4 separate regions of the Mus musculus genome follow, and regions 2, 3 and 4 are each reported to be linked to region 1. The links are microRNA targets in miRTarBase. Many come from high-throughput screens and were not tested one by one. Region 1 holds a microRNA gene; each other region holds the end of a gene's coding sequence.
Evidence for each region. Region 1 holds the annotated microRNA mmu-miR-706 (AGAGAAACCCUGUCUCAAAAAA, at 5,369-5,390, opposite strand). A microRNA usually pairs through its seed, bases 2 to 8, with sites in the 3' UTR of a target mRNA and lowers its output. Matches are read on the target gene's strand: a 7mer-m8 pairs with bases 2 to 8, a 7mer-A1 pairs with bases 2 to 7 and ends in A, and an 8mer does both.

Region 1 (8,166 bases):
CAATCTTCCTGCCTCAGCCTCCCAAGTGCTGGAAATTACAGGTATTAGCTACCACACCTGGCTAAAGCAGGTTTTCTTTATACTGGCTGTACAAATACAATAATTAACATAGAATTTGGCCAAGGCAAGGAGAATCACGTAGCAGAGAAATGAATACTGGCAACCTAGGCTTTGTTTTTGTTTTTGAGACAGGGTTTTGACCAGGCAGGCCTTGAACTCAGAGGTCTGTCTACCTTCCTCTATATCTAGAATTAAAGGCGTTTGAAACCACTGTCCTGCTGGCAACCTAGTTTTAATTTTGTTCACTTGACAATTTGGCCTCTTCAAACCAAAACTAAGATCATACTAAGCTTCACCTCTTCCTTTCCTTCTTCCTTTTTTTGTGTATTTTGGTTTTTCAAGACAGGGTTTTTCTGGGAACCAAAGCTGTCCTGGAACTCACTCTGCAGACCAGACTCAAACTCAGAGAGATATGCCTGCCTCTGCTGGGATTAAAGGTGTGTGCTGCCACCATCTAGTACCTCATCTATTTCTATAAGACCAGATATTTCCCATGTTTAAAAAATAGCAATTAAGGAGGCTGGTGAGGTGACTCAGCGGGTAAGAGGACTGACTGCGCTTTCAAAGGTCCTGAGGTCAAATCCTAGCAACCACATGGTAGCTGACAAACCACCCAGCCGACCGGAGGGAGCAGAGGTACTAAATTCAATTCCCAACAACCAGATGAAGGTTCACAACTATCTGTACAGCTACAGTGTGTACTCATATACATAAATAAATAAATCTTTTAAAAATAGCAATTAAAATTCAAGTTACTGAAAATATATTAATATAAAAAATAATAAAGCTGAATATGGTGGCATACACCTTTAACCCCAACACAGAGACTGGTAGATCCCTGTGAGTTCCAGCCCAGCCTGTTCTATAAAGGGAGTTCCAGGACAACTAGGGTTATCACAGAGATGCTGTCTCAAAAAAACAAAAACAAAAAAACTGACATACCAAAAATCTACTAAGCAGTAGTGATTATTATTTCAAGTATTTTCAGAAATTATTTCATTTCTTCTGCCATCAGTATTATCTAAAACATTGGTTCTCAATCTTTCCAACACAAGCCTTTAATGTAGTTCCTTATGATAACCAACCATAAAATTATTTTCATTGCTACTTCATAATTGTAATTTTGCTACTGTTATGAATTATAATATAAATATGATATTGAGAACCACTGATCTAAAAGAAAAAAATTAAAGCTACCAGAAATCTCAAATAACACGATTTAAATTCTGAATACAGAAGCCCAGTTGTGGAAGTACCAAAGTATGAATTAGGGTAAATTTCACATGACCAGGATCTTGCACTTGAATTTTTTTAAGCTCTTTTTTTATTTATTTTTTATTTTTTTAATTTTTTAAATATTTATTTACTTACTATATGTAAGTACACTGTAGCTGTCTTCAGACACTCCAGAAGAGAGCATCAGATTTTGTTACAGATGGTTGTGAGCCACCATGTGGTTGCTGGGATTTGAACTCAGGACCTTTGGAAGAGCAGTCTGCGCTCTTAACCGCTGAGCCATCTCACCTGCCCGCACTTGAATTTTTAATGTGAACAAATGAAATCAGTCACCAGGTTAACATTATAGCCTCACTTGTCTTTTATATAATATAATCTCTTTCCAAGTTCATAGACTAGGAATAACTATGTTAATCTGGGTCAGAATAAAAGGAAAATACAGAAAAATGACAAATTTAAATTCTTGAGACTGTGAAAAAGAACCATTTTAAGAAGTCAACTAATTACAATTCTCTAGAACAGTTATTTCCTACAACATTAAGTATGTATTTTAGGGATTGTTTTGTTTAGAACAGTGTATCTGTAATTCTGTAGCCAGGCTAATCCTAAACTTGTATTAGACCTTACTATTTCAGCCTCCTAAAAAATATATTGCTTGCATTCAAATCCAGGCTCTGCTAAATGATTGCAGCTAGGATTACAGGTTTGCACCACCATGCCAAGTTAACATACATCTTAAATCCAATCTTACCTAGCAAAAATCATATTGTTTCTAATTGTTTCTGAGTTTGAGCAGCCTAAGCTATACAGTGAGTTCTAGGTCAGCCTCAGGCACAAAGTAAGCCCTTATCTCAAAATTAAAAACCAAAACAATCAAATGATTCAGTTCAATGAGTTAAAGCTAGCAAAAAGAATAAATTGCCAGGCAGTGGTGGCCCATTGCCTTTTAATCTCAGCACTTGGGAGGCAGAGGCAGGCGGACTTCTGAGTTCGAGGCCAGCCTGGTCTACAGAGTGAGTTCCAGGACAGCCAAGGCTACACAGAGAAACCCTGTCTCAAAAAAAAAAAAAAAAACAAAAATAATTATTATTATAGATATATTATAGTACATAAACAATAAATATATTTAGGCCAGAGCGAGCCTTCATTCCCAGCAACCACATGATGGCTCACAACTATCATACATAAATCTTTAAAAAAAAACAAAAAAAAACAAAAACCACCCAAAAAGTCATGTAGTTAGGAACTCAAACCATAACTTTAAGATATAGGCATTAAATGGACTGGAGTGTAAACAAAAATTACAACTTTTACTTCTCTTTTTAGGTAAAGCTGAAAAAACACATCATCAGTATATAGAGCTTCAAGGAAATTCACTATTTAGAGACAACTTATGAGAAAAATGTCAGAAATAAGTAAATTACCAGGTCTACGTTTGTTTTTGTAAAGCAAACTACATGCTTTCCTAATAAGCACGCTCCCACAAACTGTCCCAGCCTCCAAAGTGTAAACTCTACAAAACTCCCTAGAAACATGTTTCCACCAGCACAGCTGACTGAATTAAAGTGCTTTTTTGCCTAATAGATCCTGATAAAAGAATTAAGAGTTTTAAGACTTCTGTTATTACTTAAGACTGGTATCGAGCCGGGCGGTAGTGGCACACTCCTTTAATCCCAGCACTTGGGAGGCAGAGGCAGGCAGATTTCTGAGTTCGAGGCTAGCCTGGTCTACAAAGTGAGTTCCAGGACAGCCAGAGCTACACAGAGAAACCCTGTCTGGAAAAAAAAAAAAAAAAAAGACTGTAAAGACTGTGGTATCAAAATATTACCTATTTATTATTGAAAACAATTTGGTAGATAGCTACACATACTGTGACTCTAAAAATAACCTAACAATAGGAAGTTTAATTTGTACACCCCACGCATTCATCCTCCAAAGTCTAGATCCCCATATGAAGTGATAAAAATTAAATTTGTCATTTATTAGAGAACTTTAGAAATCCTGACAGCCACTTCTACACAGAATTAGTATAACTTCATTTGAAATTAGTATTACTAATTAGCTATCTACTGAGACTACAAATGTAGTTTGGGGTTTTGTTTTTGTTTTTGTTTTATTTGATCAGTTGTTTTTAGGTTTCTCTGTGTAGTCTTGGATTTTCTGGAAACTCACTATGTAGACCAGGCTGGCTTCAAATTCAAAAGATCAGCCTGTGACTGCCTCCCAAGTGCTGGAACTAAAGGCATGTACCACGACAGCCTGGCCTTTCTAAAAAACAAAAATTTAAATTCTTCTTGATTCTTCAGAGTGTTAACATGTATACACAAATATATCCACCACCATTTCTCCCCTCCAAGTCCTTTTATATGCCCCCAACACATACTCCTCAACTCTTTGACTCTTTAAAAATAGCCTACTAAATCCAATTTGTTGTTGCATGGATTTGTGACTGCCCATGAGAAACCTACCAGTTGGGAACAACATGATAAAAGATAATGATTCTCCCTCTCAGAGAAGCTACAACTGCCAAAGACTCCTTAAGATGGGATAGGCCCTGAAGAGCATATCTATGCCAGAAATTTGGCTGGCAAGTTTTATTTTAGTAACCACAGTTGTTTCCTTTACCTTTTCTGGACTGAACCCAGAACTTTGTAGCTATTAAACAAATATTCTAACACTGCACTAAAGTACTCTACCATTGAACTGTATCCCCAGCTCTCTTCTCTTTCTGACTCTAGTTTTGAGTTAAGGTCTCATTTTGTTGTTCAGGCTGACCTAAAATTTACTCTGTAGCCTAGACAGGCCTTGAACCTGTGATCTTACTGTTTCAGCCTCATTGAATAACTAAAATTATAGGCCTCTGCTACCAGGTCTAATTTGTAATTGCCTTCAATACCTTCCAAATTGCTATATCATAACTATTTTAATGTTTGTAATTTCTTAACCAAAGCTAAATTACTTAATGCCCTATGATTTCAGGTCCTTATTTAACAAACAAGTAGGTGGGAGAGATAGCCTGATTTTATCCAATTTTGCATCTATTTATGTAGGTACACATGTGCCACAGCAAGAGTGCAGGGGTCAGAAAACAACTTTCACAAGTTGGCTCTCTCCTTCCACAATGTGGGTGCTATATTGAACATCAGGCTTAGTGGCAGGGGTCCTTACCTAATGAGCTATTATTTCCCAAAACCCTTCTAGTTTTAATACACTAAAAATTTTAAAGCTAAGCATGGTAGTACATGCTTAAAATCACACTGCTAGGGAGATAATGTCAAAGGGGTACTTTTTTTCCTTTTCTTTTCAAAGCTTTACTTATCCTTAGGTTTGACCTTTAATTTGAACCCAAATATTTTGATCTAAAACAAAATGATATGGGCTGGAATGATATGGCTCAGCAGTTAAGAACACTGACAGCTCTTTCCAGAAGTCCTGAGTTCAATTCCCAACAACCACATGGTGGCTCACAACCATCTGTAATGGGATCTGATGCCCTCTTCTGGTGTGTCTGAAGACAGAAACAGTGCACTCATACACATAAAATAAATAAGTCTTTAAAAATAAATAAATAAAAATAAAAAGTAAAAGCACACATTTATAAAAAGCCACATGGTGGCTCACAACCATCTGTAATGAAATCTGACACCCTCTTCTGGAGTGTCTGAAGACAGCAACAGTGTACTTATATATAATAAATAAATAAATCTTAAATAAATAGATAATTAAATAAAACAAATGTAATTGAAGAATTGAATTCCTGGATCAGTAATAGATCCTTGGTACAAAAATTCCTATAAATCAGTTTCATCTAAATTATTGAGTATGACTGCCCAGTAGGAGGAGAGGCATATTTTGACAAGTTTACCAAACAAACAAACAAACAAACAATGAAGGTAAGTTTGTCTGGCATGGTCCTGTAATACCAATACTCCAAAAGCTACAGCAGAAGAATCATGGATTCAAGGCCAGCTTGGAGTACACAATGAGTCTTCACAATATAGGGTAAGGGAAAAAAAAAGCCATCTCAAAAAACAAAATAAACCTACTAAAAGTAATTTTGTTTGTTTTTTTGTTTTTTGAGACAGGGTTTCTCTGTATAGCCCTGGCTGTCCTGGAACTCACTCTGTAGACCAGGCTGGCCTAGAACTCAGAAATCCACCTGCCTCTGCTTCCCAAGTGCTGGGATTAAAGGCGTGTGCCACCACACCCGGCTAAAAGTAATTTTTAAAAAATACCTGTCACGGCCAGGCAGTGGTGGCACACGCCTTTAATTCCAGCACTTGGGAGGCAGAGGCAGGCGGATTTCTGAGTTCGAGGCCAGCCTGGTCTACAGAGTGAGTTCCAGGACAGCCAGGCTATACAGAGAAACCCTGTTTTGAAAAAAACCAAAATATTAAATAAATAAATAAATAAATAAATAAATATTTGTCACATTTCCAACTCTTATCAGTTATAAAATTAACAAGGGGTAATTTTTTTTTTGGTTATTTTACTTCATTAATGTGCTTAGAAGTTCCATTTTAAGTGTTGAACTCAAGGAATTATGTTCAAGAACTTGCCAGTTTCATGTTTGCTTCCACATGCTGAGTTAACGTTCTTTCACATTTTTAAAATAAAAACAAAACGAACACTCATTTCCAATGGTGAAAATAAATTTCAAGCATATAGAGAAGTGGAAGAGAAAGCTTAATCGACTATCTTTAAGTGAACAATCATATGCTGATAATTGTTGAAGCTGGGTAATTGCTCACCTTCACTAGATATTTAGAAGCAAACTCCATTTTTTTTTTTTTCTGAGACAGGGTTTCTCTGTATAATCCTGGCTGTCCTAGAACTCACTTTGTAGACCAGGCTGGCCTCCAACTCAGAAATCCGCCTGCCTCTGCCTCCCGAGTGTCGGGATTAAAGGCATGCACCACCACATAGAAGCAAATTCCAAACATTATTCCTTTCACATTTCAAATGACCTTGGGACATTTGGAAACCAAGCTGTTTATTAATTCTTGGGTAAATCAAGTTCTGAGATTATTTCAGTTACTTTCCAATCCTATTTCAGTTTGGTCCATTTTCTTGACAAGAAATCAGTAGTGGCACTTTCATCTATGATGTAGCTGAAATTCTGCTTCCACCACAAATACATGCTCATTTCTGGATGTGAACAAGTGCTAACAAACCAATATTTATATAGATGCTTTATAATAACATTTATTTATCGCTATAATATATATTATATTATATTATATTATATTATATTATTTATATAAATATAAATTTATATAATAAATATAATAACATTTATTTATTGCTATAATTCAAGCAATTAGTAGTCCAAACTAATCTAGCATATACCTGCACTTTATTTATAACCTGAAAATTTCCCTGAGATTAAAAAAAAAAAGGAAGGAAGGAAGAAAGCACTGTAATCCCTCGGACTCTTGGGAAGTTTCATTTAAAAATCTTTTATATCCCTGGCATAGTGGCATTAACTTATAATTCTAATACTCTGGAGGCTGAGGCAGAGGGATCAACAAATTCAGGACAGTCTGGGCTATACTTTGGGACACTCACAAAAAGTCTTTTATAAGATATTACAACAATGATGGTATTATCACAACTTTCAAAGCACTTATACAATTTTGCATGGACTTTTACTATTCACTATGGACTGAATAGGATGAAGACAGACTAATGAACAGTGTCAGATCACAGCTAGCCATAAGGCTTAAGCACCTGTAGGTGGTTATATTGGTAGGTATATACTGTACCTTCCTACTCTGAAAGCACTTAAAGGGAAAGAGAGTTGGGAATCAGGGACTGGGTGGTTGTTTTGATGGTGGTGCAAGACTTTAATCCCAGCACTTGGGAGGCAGAGGCAGGTGAATTTCTGAGTTCGAGGCCAGCCTGGTCTACAGAATGAGTTCCAGGACAGCCAGGGCTATACAAAATCCTGTCTCGAAAAAACCAAAACAAAACAAAACAAAAAAGACAGTGTCTCACTACCCAGGCCAGACTGGCCTTGAACTTGAGGCTCTCCTGCCTCGACCAATAGAGTAAGTAGTTGGGATTTCCAGGCATGCCTTTATTAGCTACTATGCTATGATATTCTGCTATCAAGAAAGTTGTTCCTTAAAAGTACAGGGTCTTGTCTAACAATCAGATTTTAGAGATGGAAACACACAAGGCAGTTCATTATTGCAGAGGCTTAGAAGAGAATGAAGTGTACAGGAAAAAAAGGTTTGATATTTACTTAAAGCAAAAGAAAAAAAAAAAATTCCCAAAGGCTGAGGATATATTTAGCTCAGTGGGAAAGCACTTGTCCAGGCCCCACTTCTTCGATCCCCAACACGAAGGGAAACCCTTTTCCAATAATTCCATGTCTCCTGCCTGACATTAAACACACAAGTTTGTACTTAAATGACTCTTTTTACCCCTGGCTGATAACAATCCTTCTTGACACCAATAGTTCCTATCTTTTCCAAACACCTAACTAACTACAAGCTCCACAATCTCCCAATTTCAACCTCTTTGGACACTAGTCTTCCCGCCCTCTCAGAGTCAGAGAATTACAAGTAAAGAGTGAACTCGACAAACTGGCTTAACAGAGCCAAATTTGGGATCCAAACGACCGAATAAGAAAAAAGGGGGTGGGGCATTACCTGCAATTCACACCAGGCGACTTCCACAGTGGTTTCGGTGTCCAGACCTTTGTAGACTGTCTTAAAGGAGCCTCTGCCGATTTCGATGTCAAATTTGAGAAAGCGACCGTCATTGGACATTCCCACTGCCTTGGTCTCCAGCTCTTCGATATCATCCTGTTGCTGGCTCCTATCCTCCTGCGCCTCTTTGGCGCTGGCGCCACCACTGCCACTT
Region 2 (8,166 bases), not on the chromosome of region 1:
ATTGAGACTCAGAAAGTTGAAAAGGCTTGTCTGAGTTCACAGTGGCCCTCTCCTAGTGCTTTGTCTGAGTTCACAGTGGCCCTCTCCTAGTGCTTTGTCTGAGTTCACAGTGGCCCTCTCCTAGTGCTTTGTCTGAGTTCACAGTGGCCCTCTCCTAGTGCTTTGTCTGAGTTCACAGTGGCCCTCTCCTAGTGCTTTGTCTGAGTTCACAGTGGCACTCTCCTAGTACTTTGTACTTCTCAGGACACAGCTAAGAAAGATACCAATCTGCAAGATTGATTTTGCTTTTCTAGCTCTCTTACAAATTATTCTTGTGACTATTGTTGCTGTGTTTGTGTTGGGTGTTATGTGTATTGTGCGTTCATGTGTATAGGCACAGGCTTGCCACACACATGGAGATCACATGATAACCCACAGTCTCAGTCCTTGGCTGTCTGTCATCTTGTTTCCACCTTCCATCACACTGTGAAGGTGCTGCGATTATGGACATGTAGCAAGGCAGCTTTATGTGGGTTCAGGGATTTGAACTCAGAAACTCATGTGTGCAAGGCAAGCACTTTAACCACTGAGCCACTCTCTAGCCCTCAAGATTATATTTAGTAAGGATCAAGGCCAGTTTCCTATTTAGCAACATGGCTAAAAATAAAGGGTTCGTGTAATATAGTTAACAGTGAGGCTAGGTTTGAATCCTGACTCAGTCACTAGCAGTATGATATTCTGCATATTATATACTATATATAATATAGTATATGCATATATGTGTTAGCATATTATATAACATTATTATATAACATATTATATACTATATGAATTTTATATTATATGTGATCGCATAATACATATACCATATAACATGCATATTATATAGTATATAGTATTTTTTGCATCATTTATAAAACAAAAATAATACTCCTTGCCTTACAGGATGAGCTAGAAAGGCACTTAAAAGTTATATTCTTGATGCATGCCTGTACTACCAGCACTTGTGATGTTAGAAATATCAGCCATTGGTTCAATGTTACCCTTTGCTACATAGTGAGTTCAAGACCAATATAAGCTGCATAAGACCCAGGTGGTGGTTGTGCATACCTTTAATCCCAGCAATGGAGCGGGTGCAGAGGCAGGCAGATCTCTGTGACTTCAAGGCCAATCTGGTCTACAGAGTGAACCAGGGCAGCCAGGGGGAGGTACACAAAGAAACCTTGTCTCCAAAAACCAAGAAAACAAACCAAAACCAAAACAAGACCCAGTCTCAACTCCTACCCTCTCCACAAAATAAACAACAAACAAACAAGAAAAAAGCATATTATGTTGTCAAATATAGTGTCAAGTGCCAACTCCTCAGAAGGCTGGCCTGAGAGGACCATTGAGCCCAGAGTGGGAGTCCATCCTGGGTAACAACTCAACAGGGAGCTCCCTCAGAGAGAGAGAGCTCAGAGAGCGAGATTGAAAGCAAGATGGACAAGGAGGAGGAGAAAAGACAAAAGAGAAAAGAAAACAAATTTTAAGTGTGCATTTCAAAGCTAGGCTTGGTACCCAGGCATGGTGGCACAGCCCTGGAGTCCCAGCACTTAGCAGGTAGAGACAGGAAGAGCGGCTCAAGAAATTCCTCTGGTATGTTGCAACTTGAAGCCACCCTGGGCTGCAGCAGCTGGGCATAGTGGTGTGCACATCTTTGATACCAGCCCTCAGGAGGCAGAAGTAGGCAGGTTTTTGTGACTTCTAGGTCACCTGCGCTTATATATAGTAAGACCCTGTCTCCAAAAATGTTCTAGAGTTCTACATTTGGCTGCATGGCTTGGGCACAATAATCTCTCAAGACCTCTTTGCCTGTATAGCGAAATAGGCAATCGCTCAAAAGGTTATCACAGATAATATAAAGTGCTCTGACACACGGCAACACTAAAACAAATATTAACTAGTTTTCTTTTTGAGGTTAAGTTTGCTTATTTAAAGCAGATGCATCAAACAGGGCTGAAGAAGTAGTTCAGCAATTGAAAGCACCTGCTGTTCTTGCAGAGGACCTGAGTCCAACTCCGAGTGCCCACCTAGTAAGGTAGCTCACAATAACCTGTTAACTCCAGCTCCAGGAGTTCTTATGCCTCCGGTCCCCGAGGGCGCCTGCGTTCACATGAACACATGCATGTGCGCACACATGTGCACACGCGCGCGCACGCACATACACACACTATTAAAAATAAAATGAGGGGACTGGAGAAATGGCTCAGCGGTTAAGAACACGGACTGTTCTTCCAAAGGTCCTGAGTTCAAATCCCAGCAACCACATGGTGGCTCACAACCATCCGTAACAAAATCTGATGCCCTCTTCTGGTGCTTCTGAAGGCAGCTACAGTGATCTTAAAAAAAAAGCAAGATCCTTTTAAAGGACAGAGATGCATGATAAGTTATCTTTTGGAGACAAGATCTTGCTACATCATAGGGTAGACTGGCTCCTGCCTCCGTCTCCTAAGTGCTGGGCTTCCAGGCATAAGGTATGTGATAATTTGTATATGCTTGGCCCAGTGAGTGGCACTATTTGGAGGTGTGGCCTTGGAGTAGGTGTGTCACTGTGGGCGTGGGCTTAAGACCCTCACCCTAGCTGCCTAGAAGTCAGAATTCTGCCAGCAGCCTTCAGATGAAGATGTAGAACTCTCAGCTTCTCTTGGATGCGGCCATATTCCTGCCTTGATGATAATGGACTGAACCTCTGAACCTGTAAGCCAGCCCCAGTTCAATGCTGTCTTTTATAAGACTTGCTTTGGTCATGGTGTCTGTTCACAGCAGTAAAATCCTAACTAAGGCACACCATCATACTTAGTCGTAGTAACTTTTTAAGATTTTTTTTTAAAATTTTACATATATGGGTGTTTTGTCTGCATGGGCGCCCACATGCCTGTGGTGACCATGAAGGCCAGAAAAAGGCATAAAGTTCTCTGGAGCTGCAGTTACAGATGTCAGCCACTGTGTGGATGCTGGGAACAGAACTTGAAGTGCTCTTAAACTCTGGACCATCTGCCCAGCCCCCATAATAACCTTCTATTACTTCTATGAACCTTTGAGAACAAGAGGTGCGAGTCGCTAAGGAAGAGATGTTAAAACTGAGCTACCATCAATGGATACTGGAATTGGAAAACCATCAGCAAAAGTCACCTCTCCCTGAACTCAGGAAATGGGAATCCCAGGAGCCACCCCTAGGCTTTGAACTAGTCTGTGCGGCGCCTACCCAGCAGCTTGACCCTCTATTTGAGGCGAGCTTTCTCTCTTCAGTCTCTGTAGGGTAGTGGTTTTCTTTTTTTTTTTTTTTTTTTTTTTAAATATTTATTTATTTATTTATTTATTTATTATATGTAAGTACACTGTAGCTGTCTTCAGACACTCCAGAAGAGAGTATCAGATTTTATTTCAGATGGTTATGAGCCACCATGTGGTTGCTGGGATTTGAACTCAGGATCTTTGGAAGAGCAGTCGGTGCTCTTAACCACTGAGCCATCTCACCAGCCCCCCACTGAGCCATCTCACCAGCCCCGGGTAGTGGTTTTCAACCTGTGGGTCTCGACCCCTCTGGGTTTGCCTAACAGGTATTTACATTACGATTCACAACAGTTGCACAATTAAAGTTATGAAGTGGCAGCAAAAATAACTTGATGGTTGGGGGTCAGCTCAGCATGAGGAACTGCATTAAAGGGTGGAGGCGTCGGGAAGGTTGAGAGCGCTGCTCCTAGTCCTCAGCAGGAAGTGATTTTATCCAGAGGACACTCAGCAATATCTAGAGACATTTTTGGCTGTGACAATTGAAACATGCTACTCTTATCTAGAACCGGGATGTCAGGGCATCATACCCTACATAGGACAGCCCCTTATAAACCACCATTCTCACTTCCACAGTATCAGCAGCCTGACGAGAAGGAAGCCCTACTCCAGGGCCAAGGACCTCTTTCTTGGCTTAGCAGGATGCAGGTGGGATTCAGAGAAGTAGAACAAGATGCTAGGGGACCCTGGAGACAGCCACTGTAACTCCTAGAAAGGGATCCAAGACAGCTTTTCCGCCGGGGTGTGGTGGTCCATGCCTTTAATCCCAGCACTTAGGAAGCAGAGGCAGGCAGATTTCTGAGTTAGAGGCCAGCCTGGTCTACAGAGTGAGTTCTAGGACAGCCAGGGCTATACAGAGAAACCCTGTCTCAAAAAAAACAAAACAAAACAAAACAAAACAAAACAAAAAAAAAAAAGACAGCTTTTCAGCTTTTCCCTGATCGCCATAAAAACCAAAGAACAACAACAACAAAACCCCACCAATTTCTTCATATGTTATATTTCATTAATAAATAGGTTTTCTTCTTTAAACACGGAACATAGAACAGATTGAAACACTCCCCCACCCCACCCCCAGTTCCAAAGACAAGAGTCTATAAAACAAATGCCAACTGTACCGCCCCAGGGGCAGGAAAGTCTGGTGACCCCTCCCATCAGTCCTGCCCCCACAGCACCACCACCCCCACATTCTGCAAGAGAAGGGGGTCTGGGGCTTCTCCCTTGGGCCCTGGGGACTTCAGTAAGAAGCATGTGAATGTATAATATCACCTCTCCATGATGCATGGGTTAGGCAAAAATGAGGGTTCCCTCTTAGGTCAGCCCTCGCCCTCCTGGTTTCAGTGATGGAGCGTCTGGGTTAAGCCCCGAAGGGAGCTGTCTCCAGCCTTTCACGGTCTCCAGTCCATTGCCACTTCTTTAAGGAGAAGAGAAGGGATCAAGGACCCCGCCCACCCCAAGCCTGCCTGGAAACGCTGTATGGAAAAGGCGTGATGTCGAAGGTGAGGCCAGCATGTCCCCATCTCCCCAGTACCCATCCTTCCTCTGGAGTAGGGGGACACTGGGGCAACGACCCCCTCCACAGCCTAGTGCCAGGCTTGGGGTGTGATGGTTTCTGCTTAATGTCAGGCCCTCCTGCCAAGCCTGGCATCTTCTTCAGTTCCATTCCTGTCTCCTTCTAAAGTCCTCTGTGGCCATCTGAAAAATGTCACATCCGGTGTCTTAAGCCGTCTCATCCTCCCTCTCCCCGTGCCTCTGCACCCCAAGGGAGGAAGTGGGGGGCTGTCTCCCCCGCCTCCAGCTCTGACTTCACATGATGGAACAGCTTTTGGCCTTTTCCTTCTTGAATGTAGTTGAGATGAGTTCAGAGCGACTGGGGAGGTGGAGGAGTCGCTTGGAAAGGCTTCGGACGGGGCTCTTCGGGGGCACTGGGCTAGACTTGTTCAGACACACCATGGATGCTGTCCGGAAAATGCTGTGGATGCTTGTCTCGGAAGTGAAAGCCGAGCCCTCCAGGTAGATTTCTGCGCCCAACTGCTTGGCTATCGCACAGCCCTGTGGGAGGGGTGTGGTCATGAACGCAATGCCTTAAGATGACTAAGGAACAGTGTGGCATTCTTTCCAAATATCATACATGTCCTCTCAAGTGTCTGTTCGAGCAAAACATCAGGGTTCCATGCGTCCCCCCACGACCCCACTATTGGTCTTCCCCCAGCCCCTGCCAGCATTCACAAAGGTGAAAACTAACTGCAGCCTAGAATCACCTACAACGTTTTAAAAAGCGTACTGATGCCGGGCAATGGTGGCGCACGCCTTTAATCCCAGCACTTGGGAGGCAGAGGCAGGCGAATTTCTGAGTTCGAGGCCAGCCTGGTCTACAGAGTGAGTTCCAGGATAGCCAGGGCTACACAGAGAAACCCTGTCTCGAAAAAAAAAAAAAAAAAAAAAAAAAACCAAACCAAACCAAAACATATTTCTTTCACGTGAGTGTCTGTATGTCTGTGTGGCTCACGCCACAGCATCCACGGGCAGATCATCTACGGACAGTTTGGGGAAGCCAGTTCGCTCCTCCCACCACTGGGTCTCAGGGATCAGACTCAGGTCATCAACTTAGTGGCAAGTGCCTTCCCTCCCCTTTAGCCATTCCACCAGCCCCTCATGTCAGGATGTTTAAGAGTCCCCCCCCCAACCCCCACCCCCGGGTTGGAGAGATGGCTCAGCGGTTAAGAGAACTGATTGCTCTTCCAAAGGTCCTGAGTTCAAATCCCAGCAACCACATGGTGGCTCACAACCATCTGTAATGAGATCTCATGCCCTCTTCTGGTGTGTCTGAAGACAGCTACAGTGAACTTACATATAGCAATAAATAAATCTTTTAAAAAAAAAAGAGCCCCCAGGGGGTTCTAATAAGAAATATTAACAAGCATTCTTATACTCCTGTGTGCATTAAAATTATTCCGGGGGCTGGTGAGACATCTCAGCAGAGGGAAGCAAAGATTTCCCAGCAAGCTTGACAACCTGAGTTCAATCCCAGAAACCCATGCGGCAGAAGGAGAGAACCAACTCTTGAGAGACCACACATGCACGCGGCATGTACCACTCACACAATTAAACAAGTAATTAAAAAGTATCCTCTGGTCTTGTCGTAGAAATACAGATTTCCGTGTCTTTCCTCCCAGAGTTATTTTACAGGCAGGGAACTAGGAACTCAAAATCCTAACAGTTACTTCTTTCTGTTTGTTCATTTTAATTTAGTTTTGTTTTTTGTTTTTATGGGTTTTTTGTTTTTGTTTTTGTTTTTTTTTTTTGTTTTTTTTGTTTTTTGTTTTGGTTTTTTGAGACCGAGCCAGGCTGGCCACAAACTTGGAATCCTTCTGCCACCGCCTCCTGAGTTCTGGGATTACAAACTATTACAAACTACACCCAGATCTAACAAGCATCTTTAATGAGTATGATACATATGGCTTAAAAAAAAAAAAAACCTTAAAAATGCTGGCACACACATGGGAGAGGCTCGCAGGCTAACTAACCTATGGCAGGACTCTATGTAAACAAGTTCCTGCCACCCCAACCCAGGTGACACTTTGCTATTTATAGATAGCCCCCTAATACTAATTTTATCTTGCCATAGCCTTTTCTATCCCACCTGTGCACACATGCCCGTGCCCCTCACACACACACACACACACACACACACACACACACACACACATGCACACACACCTGCTCGTAGGAGATGGGTGCCTGCTTCTGGTGGGACAGTTCCATTAGAGTGCTCAGGTCTGTTCGAAGATCTGTCTTGCAGCCAATAAGCAAAACACGTGTGCTGGGACAGTAGTCTAGGATTTCTGTTCTCCACTGAGGGTGGGAGCGAAGGGGGAGAGGAAAGAAAGTCAGTGCCTGACAGAGACCAGGAGTCCAGCTGGCACCGGCCAGCGCATTGCTCAGATTATCAGGTCCCTCCCTGCCTTCCCTCTGAGTCACAGCATCTCTGCTGCACTAATTACATCATCTTCCTGCCCATGAGGCCTTTGGTGGCACCAGTGTGCTAACCCAGGATCCTGTCCCTTCAACAGCACAGTGGCCAACAGGAACACAGGGCAAGTCTCCCTCTCCCTGCCACACAGAAAGGACATGGATCTGTCTTCTTTCCCAGTCAGAAGGCAAACAAGCCCTGAATACCTGTAGCTGGGAATGAGACAATCTCTTCCTTAAGAAGCTAGGCAAGTCCCACAGCGTTTCCCGCAACGTCTCAGTGTGGGCAGATCCTGCCACTCGGAACCAGCACTTCCTCCAGCTAACTGAGCTCTGACCTGCCTGACTCAGTGGGCCTGAGGTCACAGTCCCAGAAGATGCCTCCAGTGTGTGTGCTTCCACAAACGCACACACTAGAAGGTTCTCTGGGCCTTCAGTATCGCCCACAGACTGGCCTTTAGCATAGTAGGATAGGAGAAAGGCAGAAGGCTAAGGGGAAGGAAACCCAGGTTCAACCCAGAGCCACACAGCTAATGGTAAGGCGTCAAGCAAAACAAGTCTTTCCTGGCTGAGGGACAGGAGGATTATGGGACAAGGCCCCTTCTTGTTCTTCTAGGTAGAAAGTATACATTTATCCTCTCCTCCACTCCACCCGCAATCCTGGGTGCTGAACCCAAGGCCTTGCTTATGCTAAGGAAGCACTCCCTAACTGCAAGTCATCCGGGGCTCCGTTTGATTTTTTTCTTTTTTCTTTCTTTTTTTTTTTTTTTTTTTTTTTTTGAGACAGGGTTTCTCTGTGTAGCCCTGGCTGTCCTGGAACTCACTCTGTAGACCAGGCTGGCCTCGAACTCAGAAATCTGCCTGCCTCTGCCTCCCAAGTGCTGG
Region 3 (8,166 bases), not on the chromosome of region 1:
ACATCCTGCTACTGGGTCAGCAGGTTGAACAATCCAATTATGGAGAGAGTCATAGGATGGCCAAGTGAAATATGTAAACTGTGATGTCAGTAGCCACAGAGGAGGCTAGTACAAACATAGATGTCACTGACCAACTCCTACCTTAGGGTGTTGACCGGAACAAGCTATTACCAGTGGGTTGTGTGTCCACATGATCACAATCATAGTACATACAACCGTGTAAGCTGGGAAATGGAACAGGATTATGCCACACATAAAATCGACCATAGGGAAGTAGATACAGCAAGGGGACAACTTCTTTCTCCATTTTTCTATGGCTCTCTCCTTTTCTTTTCTCCTGCTGTTTTTCCCCTTCTCCTTATCCCTTTTTTCTTGTTTTACCCAGAGTCTCACTGTGTAGTTTAAAATAGCGTCAAACTTGTGATCTTTTGTCCTCCTGTCTCAGCCTTAGTATTACTGGCTACACAACAGGATGGGTGGATGATGAAGTCCATCTGAGGCTCTCAATGTTCTTATTAGAATTTTATCAAGCAGGAAGAAAACAGCTTTGTAGAATAACTAAGCCCAGTGATTTGGGGAAAGTTTAACATTAAAGAGTAAAATAATTGTTATAAAAGACATATGAATATATAGACCAAAAACGTTTAAAGCAAGATGGATATATGTAAAAAAAAAAAATTAAAAGAAAAAACTAGTGATGGCTCTAAGTTTTGGATGAGAGCTAACTTTATTTTCCTAAATTTACTTTAAAGACTAAGTCTATATTTATTATTAAAAGAAAGATAACAGACTGACAAGAAGTAGGATGAATGTGTGTGTGTGTGTGTGTGTGTGTGTGTGTGCACAGATGAGTGAATGCAACAAATAGAGAAAAAAAAGGAGGCATAAAGTGAGAGAGAAATGGGAAAAGAAAGAAAAGATGATATATATCATATAGATTATTGATAGATAATTTATAGATGATTGATTATAGATGATGGATGGATGGTAGATAGATAGATAAATAGATAGATAGATAGATAGATAGATAGATAGATAGATAGATAGATAGATAGATAGATAGATTATAGATAACATTTGCTAGATATTGTGGGGTTTTGTTTTTTTTGTCAACTAGACACAGATTAGAGTCACCTGGGAGGAGGGAAATTCAATTGAGGAATTGGCTGTGGGTGTTTTCTTGATAAACAATTGATGTAGGAGGGCTTAGCCCTCTGTGGTGGTACCATCCCTGCACAGGTGGTCCTAGGGTGTATAAGAAAGCAAACTAAGCCATCCACCCAAAGCAAGCCAATAAGTAGCACTCCTCCATGGCTTCTGCTTCAGTTCCTGCCTCAAGGTCCCTGCTTTGATGGACTATGATGTGGAAGTGTAAGCCAAATAAACCTTTTTCTCCCCGAGTTACTTTTGGTCAGTCTTTTATCGTAGCAACACAGAAGTAAATGGGACAGAATAGGTATGTCCTGTTTCATTTCTCTCTCTCCTTTCCATTGTGAAGAAAACAGAAATACTATTTATTCAAAGAGGAAGGCTCATATTCCATCTCCAACCTATCTCTCCATTCTACACTGCAGCAGGTGCAGGCCTACCTCAGCCACATGAACCCGAGAGGCACATGAACCAGAGGTCTTAGGGACATAGTTCCAAGGATGGACCCAGAAGGATAGGGGTCTTTCACCACTACTCAACCCAGCTGGGGTTCTCAAACCTACTCTGGGTCTGCAAATGGAGGACACACAATTTAGTTGAATTCATTGTTGGCCAGTCGCTGTAGCTACCAGGGTCCATGGGAGACTAAGGACCTGCCACTTGGACATTGTATGAGGTATCACTAGACAGGCAATAGTGTGAGGGTCTCCATGCTGGCATGGTTAAACATGGATGCATGAGAAAGGATGGTATTTTCAGAGACCGGTTGGTATTCTTGCAGCAAGATCCACCAGAGGGAAAGAGAAGCTGAGAGAGAAACTTCTGGAAAGGAGAGAATCGGCCATTGGGGAACTAACATTCAGACTGGGCAGATATGACAAGCCTGAAGTTTGTATAGTTGGCAGGAGATGTAATGGTGGGGGTGTGTCTTAGAGAAAAGAACACAAGTGTTTCCCTTTCTACAACATTTGTGAAAATAAAGACTGCCCTGCACATAAGCAAGTGGGAGTTGAAATACAGGGCTCCTCAGCCACAAAGTGGGTCACCTTTGTTGTTCACTGCTTAAGGAACAGGAACAGAGATCTTAAGGCAAAGAGTGACATGGGAACGTCAGCATTTTAGAAAAACAACTTGCTGTCATGGCTTGTCATCCTGTAAGATGACATCAGTCACATTGTAACCTGAGTACCACAGGCAGGGTGCACAGGTAGCTGGGACCCACAGAGACTTTGGTTCCCACAGTGTCCCACTCAGAGCAGAGAACCCTCCTGCCTTCTTGTCGTCTCATCGGCATGGACAGTGTAACCACACTGTGTGTTACAATGATGCATGCCCATTGGGCAGTGCCAAGGGGCATACCTTGACCAGATACTGCCAATTCAGAGCTCAGTATAGCCAAGGATAGTACCTCAGTGCTCTCTGCATATGGCCACCACTGGCCAGGTGCAGAGCATCACGGCTCTGTGTCATCTCAATTGTCACCCATAATTGCTTTCTTCTTCTCTGGCCTGAGATGGTCATGGATTGAGGAGCAGTTGAATCCATGCCCCAGTGAGGCACAGAGAATGGAACCAAGGAGGCTAAAGAAGGGTTTCCACAAGTCCAAGGCTAGTCTGGGCTACCTAGTGAGTTCCAGGTCAGTCTGAGCCACAACATGAGGCCACATCTCCAACACCAAAACCAGGACCAAGGAGAAGCACTAAACCCTCAGCCATGAATGCTCCCAATGAATGCGCCTCATGGGTGCTGAAGCCAACATCCTAGGAGGGTGGCGAGTCTCACGCCATCTCCCACTCGGAACTGTAGTGTCCCTGGCTGTGTAATGTGGTGGGAATGATGAGGCCCACCTGGGCTGTGGATGAGAAACAGTTCAGAAACCTTCTCTAACACTCCCAACAACAATGAAGTGCTACTGAATAATGGGTGTGGGTTATGATCAGCAGAGAAGGATGTGCAGAAACCCAGGAGGGCCCTCGTTGGCCCAGAGGAGCATGGGAAGGGGCATGGCTACCTTTGACTTAAACAAGTTCCTTCTTTACATGAAGAGCAGCCCATATTAGGTGCCATACATGGGACAGAGCCAGGCTGATTTTCCAGGAGCTTTTTTGACTGAGCGTGCATCCTGGACTTTCCCAGCTGTCTCAGACCTTGATTCCAGGCTGTGTGCCTGTCTCCCCGACAGCATGTTGTCCAGTCCAGAGGGCCACTGCATACTGCTACACCACTCAAGTAGGGGAGAGGACAAGATGGTCATTTGCTTAGACTTGGGAAGCGTGCAGTTACTGAATAGGCATGGAGAAACTGCTCATGTGGGTTGCTATGGCTTTCCTTTTCCAATGTCAACAAAAACAGCACTAATGTGTAGAATCGAAGTTTGTCTTTTCAGCACAACTCATAAAGAAATTTAAAACCCTATATAACAAAAACTCCTTAAAATAAAAAGTCGACTCAGAAAATAACGCAAACAATATTACAGGTAGCACTGAGACCTAGTATGAATTTAAAAAAAATACTATTTCAAAGGATAGAATGGTGAAGGTACAAAAAAATTTATTTAAATTAAACATTTTGAAAAATCAATTTCATAACTGTTCCATGCATATTTAGTTTTCTTGAAAAAATGGAACAGAGTAGCTTAATGCCTGTGATAGTGTTTCACGAGATTATTAATATCCATCCGGGACTGGGCACCAGTCAATTACATCATCAACAATTCACTATTTGTTACCAAATGGTATATACAGTAATAGCATAAAGATTAAGTATATCTTATAAGTGATATTATAATAAGACTTCTTGGGGATCTGTCAACAATACAAAATATAAGGTGGACATAATAGCAGAATATAAAAACACATTTCATAAAGGCAATAATATACACGTGTCCAAGGGCAGACAAGAGTCTGTTAGCTCAGTGTTTGGTATGTTCCTTCAAAGGAGGTTTAGAGAATGGAAATGTCTGGGGTGCGACCAAAGCTCAGAAACATCTTTGGGTGTCACAGGGTGTTTGTTTGGGACAGCCAAAGGACTGTGGGATAGGTGATTGTTCTGATGTATCCACTTGAGAAACAAGAACCAAGTTCCCTTCACGCCCAGGGGAATGGTGCCTGGGATTCCAAGCGAGGGGCCCTTTGAATTAGGGGCCAGTTTGGAGGGAGAGTAACAGAGAAGAGAGAAAAGCCCTCCTGGGAGCAAGGGGCAGCAGACATTGGGCAGAGAGTCATCTTTTGCATCTGTAGATAAGAGTATGCTACAGCTCTGCTCTAGAAATCAGCACACCCCAACACTTTTGTGGACAGACGTTTTAGGTTTCTAGCTCTCTGGTTCATTCTGTGATGAGGGGATGAGACATTGTCACAGTTGAGAAGAATCTAAATCAGGGTACACACCTGGGGCACAGTGTTGGGAATAGGCATGCCTGCATAAGGTCATTTCTCACACTGTAGTCGCCTGAGATGTATGTAACAAAAATAATGTATCTAAAGTATATATTAAAAAAAAATCCAGGCTGGGTGTGGTGCCACTCACCTTTAATCCCAGTACCCAGGAGGCAGAGGCAGGCTTACTTTTGAGGTTGAGGCCAGCCTGGTCTACACAGTGAGTTCCAGGGCAGCCAGGGTTACACAGAGAAACCCTGTCTCAGAACAAAACAAAACAAAACAAAACAAAACAAAACAAAACAAAACAAAACAAGTTCTAATCTGATTTTGCTTTCAGTGATGCAGTTGAACATACTCATTAATTTTCCGAACCAGGGTAGATCTTTTCCTTTAAAAAAATTACATTTAGTGTGTGTGTGTGTGTGTGTGTGCATGTGAGCATGCTCAAGCACACATATAATGCAGGGGCACACGTGCATTTGGAAGTCAGAATACAACTTGCAGGAGTCAGTTCTCTTCTTCCACCATGTAGGCTCCGGATATAGAACGTAGGTCATCAGACTTGGCAGCAGGCAGTCTTACCCACTGAGACATCCCACACCATCTTGCCAGACCAAAGGTGAATATTTTTCTCGACTGAAGGAGTTTCTTTGGAATTCTAGGGTGGCTGTGGACAGTATTATAGGAAAGCAGAAAACCTGGGTCCTTGGGCAGTCATTCATTCATACTTTCCTTGGCCTTGAGAGGGCTGTAACTTGGAGATCCATAGAGCGAGGGCTTGGCTATGAAGCCAACCCTCACTGTACAGGAGAGAATAGTCAGGGCTGGTCAAGCCAGAGTGGGGTTTTGCCAGTTAGAGACTGAACTGAGATGGACCCCAGGCCCAGGGTCCATCTTACTGGGAGCACCACAGATCAGAAGTAGCTACACCAAAAGCAGGAGCTCCAATGCACTGGGCTTCTTCCCATCAGCTACACTGATGGTGTAGAGCGGCTAGGAAATCCTACTGCAAACAGCTCCCAAGGCTGTGCTTCCTTGATGAAGCCGACAAAACACATTTAAAGGGACAGAAGGAGCGCTGGATCCTGGCTTTTGACCGGAAGGCTCTGGAACAGCAGTTTTGACCTCTTGCCACCAAGGAGTGGCATCGCCACAGTTTCTGCTCAGCTCAGTGCTTCATAGGGAGGAGGGGATGGCAGGGCTGGGCCAGGCTCCATTCCTCCAGCTCTATGACACACTGTAGCTGTTGTAATACGTGGCCGTGGCATCAGCCAGGACTGAGATGAGGCTGGTCTCTGTAGGGCCTGTGGGAGTCCCCTGGGAGAGCGGGACATGCCCAGTGAGGGTTCCAACCCCTGCAGCAGAGTCAGGGTGGCCGGGAGTGTTCAAATACTGATCAAATTCATTGCGATCCATGTCTCCCAGAAGTTCCACCTGGCTTAGCTGATCCAAGGTGTCAAAGCCAGGGTGCTCCGGAGGTGGGGACAGCTGGCCCAGGTGGGCCTGGAGGTTGGGGTGGAGAGGGTGGTAGGTGGCATGGGAGTAATAGGCTGGAGATGGGGGACATCCAGAAACAGAGGACATCATAGAAACCCCTGGGGATTGGCCAAGGGCTAAAGAACCTAGAGGGTGGCTGCAGTGGAGGGGACTAGGTGTGAACTCCGGTGAGTAAGGGGGCCCTGGTAGATGGGGGAGGTGATGGGGGTGACCATGCTCCTCCTGACATGAGGACGAGAAGAAGGTCTGCTCTGGCTCCAGCGCATCCAGGGGCGACATCTCCGGAGGTGTGGGCAGCCCGTAGGGATACGTGTCCACACTGCCAGGGGCAGCAGCTGCACCTTCGCGGTAGCAGCTGTGCAGTCCAGGCAAGGTGGCCCCTGGGGAGTACTCACCCCTGTCCTCCTTCTCCCCCCTGCCAATGCCGTTTTTCTCAGGCAGCGTGTTCTGGTCACGAGAGAGGGAGCTGAGGAGGAAGCCAGGGTCCACGCGCTTGCAGAGGCGCTTGCCTTGTTTCTTCCTGCGGGGCCGGTACTTGTAGTTGGGGTAATCCTGCATGTGCTGCAGGCGCAGCCGCTCTGCCTCATCCACATAGGGTCTCTTCTGGGACAGTGTCAGCGCCTTCCATGACTTTCCTGATCACACAAACCAGAAAAAGGCATGCTCAGACTCCAAAGTGCTGGTTCAGCCTCCGCACCTGCTTCAGCCTCCTGCTTCTTAGCATCCCATTGCTGATCTCTGACCCCTACCCCACCCACTGGACCCCTCTCACAGCCACAAAGGACACCGCCTGCCTCTAGGCTCTTTTCATCCCAGATCACACACGCACTGAAGGGACTGGACCAACTCTTCCTGTTTGCATCGCACAATGTTGGAGAAAAGTGCTTAGAAATCATCATCTCACCCCAACCCACCAGATGTGGCAACCATTCCAAACCGTGAGAGTCCCAGGGAAGTCCTACCCGACCTAATCATCAGCAACAGAAAAAAAAATCTAAAGACTGTAATATTGACTAGGGTCCTTAAATCCTTTAGGGGTCAGTTGTGTTTATTTGTGCGTTTTAATGAAAGTTCCCTGCCACTTATGAAGGGATGTCATCCTGTTTAGTAATGTATATCTCTCATGTCTCTTAAGTGCGGTAACCCAGCTTCAGCCAATCGTGTCATCAAGAAGTAGATTAGAGAATTAGTAATTAGAGAGTAATTAGAGAATTAGAGAATTAGGGCTCATAAATAACTATTCCTCACCTCTGAGGGTCAAATAGACACTGCTATGGAAAGATATAGGAATAGCCTAGAAGCTAATATTTACACACACAGAGAGAGAGAGAGAGAGAGAGAGACAGAGAGAGAGACAGAGAGAGACAGAGAGACAGAGACAGAGAGACAGAGACAGACAGAGAAACAGAGACAGAGACACACGCACGTATGTGTGTGCACTACCACTTTCTCTCGTGGAGTTAGGACTTTCTGACCATAGCAGGACAGTTTCTCAGCCACAGCTTTCCACAGAGGCAAGCTCCTTAACTGCCCCCTGGTCTCCGTCTTTCTGACTATAACAGGTGCTGTTTCCAATGCAGGGCTCGGTTCTCCCTTTTAGGAGTCTCCTCTCTGTGTATCCCCACCAGTGTTAAAATGCTGCTTGTACTTGGTTTTCTATTCACCATACCCTACCAGTCTGTCCCTTTGCAATCACAAGCCACCTTGGTACACCACTTCCATCTTTCAATGGAACGCAGCCCTGCTCCAGAGAGTTCCAAGGATCACTTACAGACCATTTAAACTGCTGCCGACTAAAACGGAGGTAGGCATCTGCAAATTTAGCATGCTCTCCCATGACTCTAATGTACCCTCAAGTTTCAGACCCTCTAGTGAAGAGGACGAGGCATCTGGCCGGATAAGCCCTGTAAGGAAAGAGAGCATGTCTCCCTACTGGGTACAATACACTTGTGGCTAAGCACAGGGTATGTACACCCTGCCCTGGTTTCTGCCCTTGCCCACACTGGCTGGTTCCATGGGTCAGGATATTATAGGACACTGAGTGCTCAGAGGCAGAAGCTACCAATATCTGCAATTGTTGCAATTAGTTGTCACTTAGAAGTATGTCTCGAAAAGTGTCCACAGCACCAGATGTAGAGAT
Region 4 (8,166 bases), not on the chromosome of region 1:
GGAGTGCACGTGTGAATTAATCTTTCTGAGCTTTCCCCCATTTGGGCTGTAGCCCATATGAAATGTGTTTATATGTCTATAGTGACAAAGATATATTTTTGGTGTCTGAATTGGGAAATGTGGGTGTCATCAATTTTCAAGAGGCACTGGATTTGAAAATTTTGGAGGTTAATGACCATAGTTTGTGAAGCTGGGGTGGTAATAAGGGCACACAAGAGGAGCATGCTCATATTATCCTCTGAGGTTGCGCAATAGGGACGCAGGGGAAGTAGGCATGAAACCCTTTTGTGTGTGTATGTGTGTGCGTGCATGCACGCGCGTGTGTGAATGAAATCGATCTGCTTGCTCAGCAGAGGCTGTGAATGTTCCTATAGAGGCAGTTTGCTCAGTGAGGGCTCAGATATTAGACCTTGTAGGGATCTGTGAGATTTGACCTGCTGGCTGTAGAGGGGTGACGCCCTTTCCTGTAAGAGGATGGAGATGTGGATGAGAAAAGGGGATAGTGGATTCTCAGCTAGTTTGACAAAGAAGCTTGATAACCAGGGAAGCAAATTCACAGCATATATACTGTCCAAGAAAAGAAAAAAGGGCCCATTGACTTCCTTGAGGACTAAATAAATTACATGTAGTTTCTTATATTTGGGGAGTGATGGGGCAACTGTCTGAATCAAAGAGTGGGGAGTTCATTCCTGGGGGGGGTAGTACATTATTGCCATGGCTCCCCTCTTCCCTCCACCAGTAAATACTGAGCAGGTCTCAGTGATGGGCCTTTTTAAAGCCAAGCAGGTAACAGAGGTAGGGGCAGAAATCCAACTTTAGTTAGGATAATAATATCAGTTTGTCCCAGGAACCCTATTATGCTAATATCAAAGTGGGAGTGATTTCTGAGTAGCTGTTGCATATTGGAGAGAGAACAGGGTGAAGTGGATATGGGGTTCTTCTCTTAGGTCTCCAGGGCGCTCTCCCTGCCATTTCTAATTATAATTGGGACTACATGAACCACAGTTAGAATTCTAGGTGCACTGCCCACCGAGATGTGGAGCCACTCCAGTAATCCCTGGGGCTGATACAGTGCTCCATGAGAATAGGGGAGGAGTTAAAAAGAAGACGACGTAGGGCACTGTTGGATCATACCTAGAACGTGCTATGTCTTTGGGGGCTGGATTGATGATACCTAAAGCCTTGACTGCCCCAGAAGAGAGCTTGAGGGGAGGAGGAGTTTTTTTGTTTGTTTGTTTTAATCACCGATTAGAAGATCAAAGAGAAGCACTGGGTACAGGTCTAGAGCAATGCCGAGGTCTTGTGCTCCGTGTATTCAGGTGCTGATTTCTGTGCAACCCAGATGTGGGCATTTTCATGAATATTGAAGAGTCCCCTGTATCAGTGTGATATAAAGAATGTTTCTCAATAATCTCTGACTGTTTAATAAAAAGTTCTACAGCCAATGACTGGGCAGAGGAGACAGGAAGATAGAACTTTTGGTTCTGGCCAGGGGTGTGAGTGAGAAGAGCCAGGAGAAGGATTTGTCATGAGAAGAAGCAGGTAAAGATCCAAGAGAAGGGCTGTAAGATGGAAGACAAAAAAGATGTCTGCCACCGGGCAGTGGTGGCGCACGCCTTTAATCCCAGCACCTGGGAGGCAGAGGCAGGTGAATTTCTGAGTTCGAGGCCAGCCTGGTCTACAAAGTGAGTTTCAGGACAGCAGGGCTATACAGAGAGACCCTGTCTCGAAAAAACAAAAAAAGATGTTGGCCATAAGTCTGGGCATGAGGAGGAGTCTGCCAGGAGGACAGAGAGCCACAGCAGAGTGAGCCAAGGAGAGACTGAATGCAGTAACTTGGGCCTGTGGCTGGAAAGTTACTAGATAACATAAAGGGTTGGGAATATCTCCCAATTATTGTGCTTAATGCTTGTTGAATAATCTATAAGTCTCCATCTCAATTACTTGGACACTAGCCAGGTTAGAAAAAACTGCAACCTTTAAATTTCATTCTATAGTCAAAGCCAATTAAGGTTTTACAAAAAGCTTTGGAGAGAGGTGAAAGCTAAGGTTTGAGGGAAGGGAAGGGCGGGTTTAAGAGGGTGCACTTGAGGAAGGGACTCTAGGACCCTTGATCCAAGTAGCTCCAGTGTCAGCTATACCCAGTAGACAGGCTCAATCCCTTAGGTCTCCAGTGCCTTGTAACAAGGTTCCTTATAGATGCATTTTGTTTGCTGCCTAATATGTGGCCTGCTTCTTGACACAGGTAGTTTTGAATCCAGCATTGTTCTTATACTGGATTTGAACCATATAAAAGAGGCCATGTCCAAGGGCCAAGGAGCACAGGAGAGGCCCATCAAGGCAGATACAAAGCATGTCTGAGTTTTCTACACCAACCAAGGGCAGGAGGAAGGATATTCCTTGCAAGTATAGGACCAAGAGAGGTGGTAAAATGGCACTTTCAGGGCCTGGGAGCTGGAGGACACCTGTCTTTAGATAGATGGCCTCAAGTCTAGTACAATTCTTTATTGCTGCTTAGCAGCAGAAACCTAATTACAGCTTTGCATGGCACTAATTATTGCTTCTTTCTGAGCTCTACTGGTACAAAGCGGGTGCTACACAAATCGCCCCATTCAAATTCAGACAGTGCTGAGGTTTTTATCCTTTTTGTCCCCTCTAAACCTTGTGTTGAAATTTGGCCTCTAAGTGAGTTGATTGGAGGCAGGAAGGGCCTGTGAGAAGTAACAGGGTTGGGTGTGTGTTCTTGTTCTTGGGGACTGGATTAATTTCTGTGAGAGTGTGCCATGCTATTTTGTTTCTTTCTCTTTCATGTGCACCTACTTGTCCTTCTGCCATGAGGCCCTCACCAGCTAAGCAGAGACTGGTGCCATGCTCTGAGCCTCCAGAACTCTGAGCCAAAAGAGATTTCTCCCTTCATAAGCTGTGGACTCACAGATATTTTGTTATACTAAGAGTAAACAGAATAATAAGATGGAGTTTCATAAAGCTTGCCAGCCAGCCGCTACAATCTTCCTTGCCCAAACAAGCCAACCATTGTCTCACTGAAAAATAACCTAAGAGCTGATAGCAGCGTCTTACTTTACATTCTTTTGGGAGAAGGTCTGCCTGTGGCATGTGACCTTCTCTCTTTGAATAGCACTAGACACAGCACATGGGAGCAGATACTGAAACTGCAGGGTCTGGGTTCAAATCTTGATGGTATTTTCTAGCTATATGACTGGATCATCATTTAACCTAAGGTATAGTTCCATCATGAGGAAAAGAATGCTTATCTAACAAACTAGTTCAAGCAAAGCTCTACAATAATAGCTGGAACCTAGCAGACCATGTTAGCTATAGTTTTATTGACATACTTGACTAAATATGTCAAGGTAGCTCTCAATTGATAGCTCTGACTAGCCTGGAACTATGTAGACCAGGCTGTCTTCAAATTCAAACACGAATCTGCCTCTGCCTCTGCCTCCCGAGTGCTGGGATAAGGCTTTGTCTGCCATGCCTTGCCTCTCTGCTGGTTTTTGTTTGGTTGTTTTGGGCCTTGGTCCACCTGCTTCTGCCTCCCGAGTGCTGGGACGTGAACTACCATGCCTCGCTCTCTCTGCTATTCTTTAAGGGAGATTTTATTTAGAGAATGGATTGAAGGAGCTGAAGAGTTTGCAACCCCACAGGAAGAACAACAGTATCAACCAACCAGAAGTCCCAGGGTCTAAACCACCATGTAAGGAGGACACATGGAGGGACCCATGGCTACAGCCGTATATGTAGCAGAGGATGGCCTTGTTGGGCATCAATGGGGGGAGAGGCCCTTGGACCCGTGAAGGCTGGATGACCCAGTGTAGCGGAATTTGAGGGCAGGGAGGCAGGAGTGGGTGGGTGGGTGGGGGCACACCCTCATAGAAGGAGGAGGGGGGTAGGAGTTTGGGGGGGGAGAATTGGGAAAGGGGATAAACATTTGAAATGTAAATAAATATCCAATAAAAAAGGGAGATTTTATTTAAAAGTTAAGAGTTTCTCAGGGCAGTGGTGGTGTGCACCTTTAATCCCAGCACACAGGAGACAGAGGCAGGCAAATCTCTGAGTCCAAGGCCATTCAGGTCTACAGAGTGAGTGAGTTCCAGAACAGCTAGAGCTGCACAGAGAAGCCATGTATTAAAAACAAGTCCAGGGGGCTGCTGAGATGGCTCAGCGGTTAAGAGTGCCGCCTGCTCTTCCAAAGGTCCTGAGTTCAAATCCCAACAACCACATGATGGCTCACAACCATTCGTAATGAGATCTGACGCCCTCTTCTGGAGTGTCTGAAGACAGCTACAGTGCACTTACATATAATTAATAAATAAATAAAAAGAAAGAAGACAAGTCCAGCGTATGTAGCTGTGCTAAGGAAACGGGGGAGGGCGGGTTATTATCCAAGTCTCATCTTCTTGTGGGGGGGGAGGGGCGGGTTATTATCCAAGTCTTATCTTCTTGTGGGGGGGTAGGGGCGGGTTATTATCCAAGTCTTATCTTCTTGTGGGGGGGGGGAAATGCCCAGTGGTGAAGTCCAGGCCTCACAGGGGTGTGGGGTAAAACTGGAGTTATGAACCCCTTTACCTGAAAATGACCCTGTTTCCAGCCTGCCAAAGCCATATTGTAGTTGTTCATGGTTTCTAGACTTGCTTCCCTTGTTCATATGCATTCCATTTGATGGGAAATATGGTTGAACTGAATACAAAGATAAATTTTGGCAAATGGATGGAGCTCAAAATGCTATGGGTTGTGTGGCTATGCCAGGTGGAAGGATTGAGGAAGGTGTGGGCCTTTGGAAGAGGCAGCAGAAAACTCGGTCAAGTCTGGGTGGGTCCAGCCACGGTATCTCACTAAGATTTGCCTCATCCTCAAACCTGGGGACTCTGGCTTTCAATAATTGACATACACCCTGCATAATTTAGAGTTGTTTTATTAAAAAAGAATAAAGAGGAAAGAGGCCGGGCAGTGGTGGTGCATGCCTTTAATCCCAGCACTTGGGAGGCAGAGGCAGGCGGATTTCTGAGTTCTAGACCAGCCTGGTCTACAGAGTGAGTTCCAGGACAGCCAGGGCTACACAGAGAAACCCTGTCTCAAAAAAAAAAAAAAAAAAAAAAAGGAAAGAGGAAAAAGAGGGAGGGGAGGGGAAGGGAGAGGGGGAGGAGGAGGAGAGAAGGAGGAGGAGGAGGAGGAGGAGGAGGAGAGGAAGAAGAAGAAGAAGAAGAAGAAGAAGAAGAAGAAGAAGAAGAAGAAGAAGAAGTAGTAGTAGTAGTCAAACAACAAAAAGCCCAACCGAAGAATTCTTGGTTCTGTGTGTCTGGGAGCAGCTTAGGTGTGTGTAGGGAAGGTAGAACCTGGAAGACAATAGGGGACTTAGGCAGCCCTGGGAAGAACAAAAGCCCAGGTGCTGACTGGAAGTACAGCATTTTCCCAGGACTTAGTCCCTCTCTGGGGCTTGTGGTCATCCACTAAACACAAGTGTGGGCTCAACACCCCCAAATGACAGGTGGGGTGCTCAGTCCCCAGAAAAAGGCAGGGTGGGCAGTACTAGAACGCCCTTGGATTCTTCTCAAAGTCACCAACAAGTTGGGAAGGAGTGGGTGGCCCATCAATGCCATCCCAGAAAGTGGGGTTCGAACGGGCGACACTAGGATGGCAGGCTCAGATGCAGACGCACCTCCATTTGGACACAGGGCTCAAGGCCGTGGGGAATAAAAGGGCCCTAATGGAGCAAGACCTGAGTTCCTGGAGGCAGGCGGATCTCAGGTACCCTGGGGGATACGGGGCAGTGCTCTTATGGGCCGAGGGGGAGGATTATCCAGGACAGATTCTGGCCTGGACCGCACACCACCGCGGCGTTTTTGCTTCCTCAACAGATAGTTTGAGTACTGCACCTCGGGCATAGCAAGCTTGAGGCAAGCCTCCGTAGTAGGGCCAGCGCCGCCGCTAGGCAGATCATAGCCCATGATGTCCACTTTGCGGCTAGGCTGCCACGGCTGCAGCTGCTTTGTACGAATCTGGGCAGCGGGTCGCAGCACCGGCTCGTCGCCAAAGCAACGACGCAGCAGACGCTGGCGGGCCTCGCGCAGCTCGCGCGCTTCGCGCTCCACGCATGCGCGGCCCGCGCGCGCCACGCGACGCCAGAAGGTGGCGTTGAAATGGTCGTAGAGGCCCGCATCGAGCGCGTTCCAGGTGCGCGCGGCCCGCGCCAGCGCCTCGGGGATGGTGGCCAGGCGCGACGAGGCAGCGCGCGCGTTGAGCTTGGCGTAGAGCACGTCGTCCAGGTCCCAGGCCAGTAGACGCCGCAGCAGCACGAGGGACTCGTCGAAGTACTCCGCGATCATGACGAGCGAGAAGACCTCCTCCACCTGGCGGATGAGGCCCGCCAGGTAGGCTGCGTCGTCACGAGGGCTGCGCTCATTGTCGCCTCCAAGGTCGTAGGCCAGCGTGTTGTGAGCAAACATGGCGAAGTGCTCGCCTGGACGGTAGTAGGCCTCGGGTGCGCGCAGGAAAGTCTCGAGCGACGCATTGGGCACGCGCCTGAAGGCCGGGCAGTACTGGTTGTAGTAGCTGAAAAGCGACTCGAACATGGCCGCGGGTTCGCGCAGGATGGTGACATAGATCGTGTCTGGAGGCATGAGGCGCTCGAGTTCTGCACGGTCGAAGCGCAGATGGCTGGCCAGCATGTGCGGGGGCCTCGTAGCTGGGTGCACGAAGTGGGCCGAGAAGTTTCGCGGGTAACAGAACTGGTGCTCGCAGCTAGGGTGAGGCAGGGCCACCGTGAGGTTGTGGCGTTCTGCGAAGCGGAACAGGATGTTCTGCACCGTAGTACCTGCTGTCTTGTGAGTCTTCAGGAAGGCCACGGCCATGTGCTTGGCCCGAGGTGGCGATTCTCGCAGAGGCGGGCAGCTCAGAGGGAACAACTTGGGGTACCTGCAAAGCCCAGGGTGTGTGAGAGGCGTAAAGGCAAGGAAGTGAGTCGGCCTGATCTTTCCTCTCATGATTGGAGAGACCAGGTGCCAGGTAGCCTTTAAGATGGGTTCTACAGGGGCAGGAAAGACTGCCTATTTGTGAAGAACACTGGCTGCCCTTCTAGAGGACCCAGGTTCATCTCCCCAGGCCCTATGTGGCCACAGTTGTCTGTAACACCAATCACAGAGGATCCAATGCCCTCTTCTGGCCTCAGATGACACTGCATGTAATACCACCCATACACAGACACATAAGGGGCTGGGGTTGTGTATGGCGTGGGAGGCAGAGCTACGTGGATCAAGGTGAGTTCGAGATCAGCCTGGTCTCCAGAATGAGTTCCAGGCTAGCCAGAACCACACAATGAAATCCCGTTTAAAAGGGGTTGCGAGGTGGGGAGATGACTCCTAGTAGCAGGTACACCCTCACATAGTCTCTTCCCACTGAGCGGGACTAGACTGACTGATGCACTCTATGCTACAGAGTAAGGTAGAAATGATGCGGAATGGTCTCTGATTTTATAGTGGGGAAAGGCCACTGGTTTCTCTCTCCAGGATAATGTGCATTAGAAGGAGGCGGTCCCAAAGAAACTGAGCACCGAGTACTGTCAGCCTGCTTGAAGAGCTGGAGAGTGCGGAACTACCTGAACTTTCTCAGATTGCTTTTAGTCAGTCCTTCAGAAAAGACTGTGTGTCTGGCAGACACCTTGACTGAAAACCTGCAAGAGACCTGGAGTCACGAGTTCTCGGCCGCATTTGGATTCATGATTTATAGAAATGGAAAGAGAATAAATGTTTGTTGTTTTCAGCAGCTAAGTTCTTTACTCTTTATTTATTTAATGTGTGTATGTGCAGCAGGTGCACATATGCCAAGGCGAGCAGGCGGACATCAGAGGATACCATTTTAGAATTGGTTCTTTCTTTCTACCTCGTTGAGGCTAAGACTCTCCTGTTTCTGTTGGACTGTGCCCTTCTGGCTGATCCTCCAGTCTCCGCCTCCCATTTCTCCTGAAGAGTTCTGGGATTGAGAGCTGGTGAGTTGGCTCAGTGGTTGGGAGCACTGACTGCTCTTCCAGAGGATCCAGCTTCCATCTTCAGCACCCACATGGCAGCTCACACCTGTCTGTAACTCCAGCCCAGGTCTCCTGACAGACTCACAGACATATATGTAGGGACAACACTACTGAACATAAAATAA

Region 2: miRTarBase lists Rnd1 as a target of mmu-miR-706. Seed matches in the 3' UTR shown: 7mer-m8 at 4,166-4,172.
Region 3: the mRNA of Sox7 is a reported target of mmu-miR-706. Seed matches in the 3' UTR shown: 7mer-m8 at 4,776-4,782 and 8mer at 4,212-4,219.
Region 4: miRTarBase lists Gal3st3 as a target of mmu-miR-706. Seed matches in the 3' UTR shown: 7mer-m8 at 5,081-5,087.

Annotation. Positions count from the first base shown.
Region 1 is chr6:120,028,922-120,037,087 of GRCm38, forward strand. It overlaps Mir706 (microRNA 706), which reads right to left and starts at 5,390; the gene lies at 5,307-5,390. It overlaps Wnk1 (WNK lysine deficient protein kinase 1), which reads right to left. Exons shown (of 28, transcript NM_001199084.1): 1 at 7,953-8,166.
Region 2 is chr15:98,665,482-98,673,647 of GRCm38, forward strand. It overlaps Rnd1 (Rho family GTPase 1), which reads right to left. Exons shown (of 5, transcript NM_172612.3): 4 at 7,030-7,164; 5 at 3,724-5,361. The coding sequence ends at 5,116. Among named protein-coding and RNA genes, the nearest start is that of Ddx23, 6.7 kb to the left of the region's middle.
Region 3 is chr14:63,946,250-63,954,415 of GRCm38, reverse strand. It overlaps Sox7 (SRY (sex determining region Y)-box 7), which reads right to left. Exons shown (of 2, transcript NM_011446.1): 2 at 3,684-6,661. The coding sequence ends at 5,757. Among named protein-coding and RNA genes, the nearest start is that of Sox7, 6.6 kb to the right of the region's middle.
Region 4 is chr19:5,305,491-5,313,656 of GRCm38, reverse strand. It overlaps Gal3st3 (galactose-3-O-sulfotransferase 3), which reads right to left. Exons shown (of 3, transcript NM_001024717.2): 3 at 4,918-6,933. The coding sequence ends at 5,763. Gm42064 (predicted gene, 42064) reads left to right here and starts at 6,554. Exons shown (of 2, transcript NR_166897.1): 1 at 6,554-6,737; 2 at 7,524-7,779.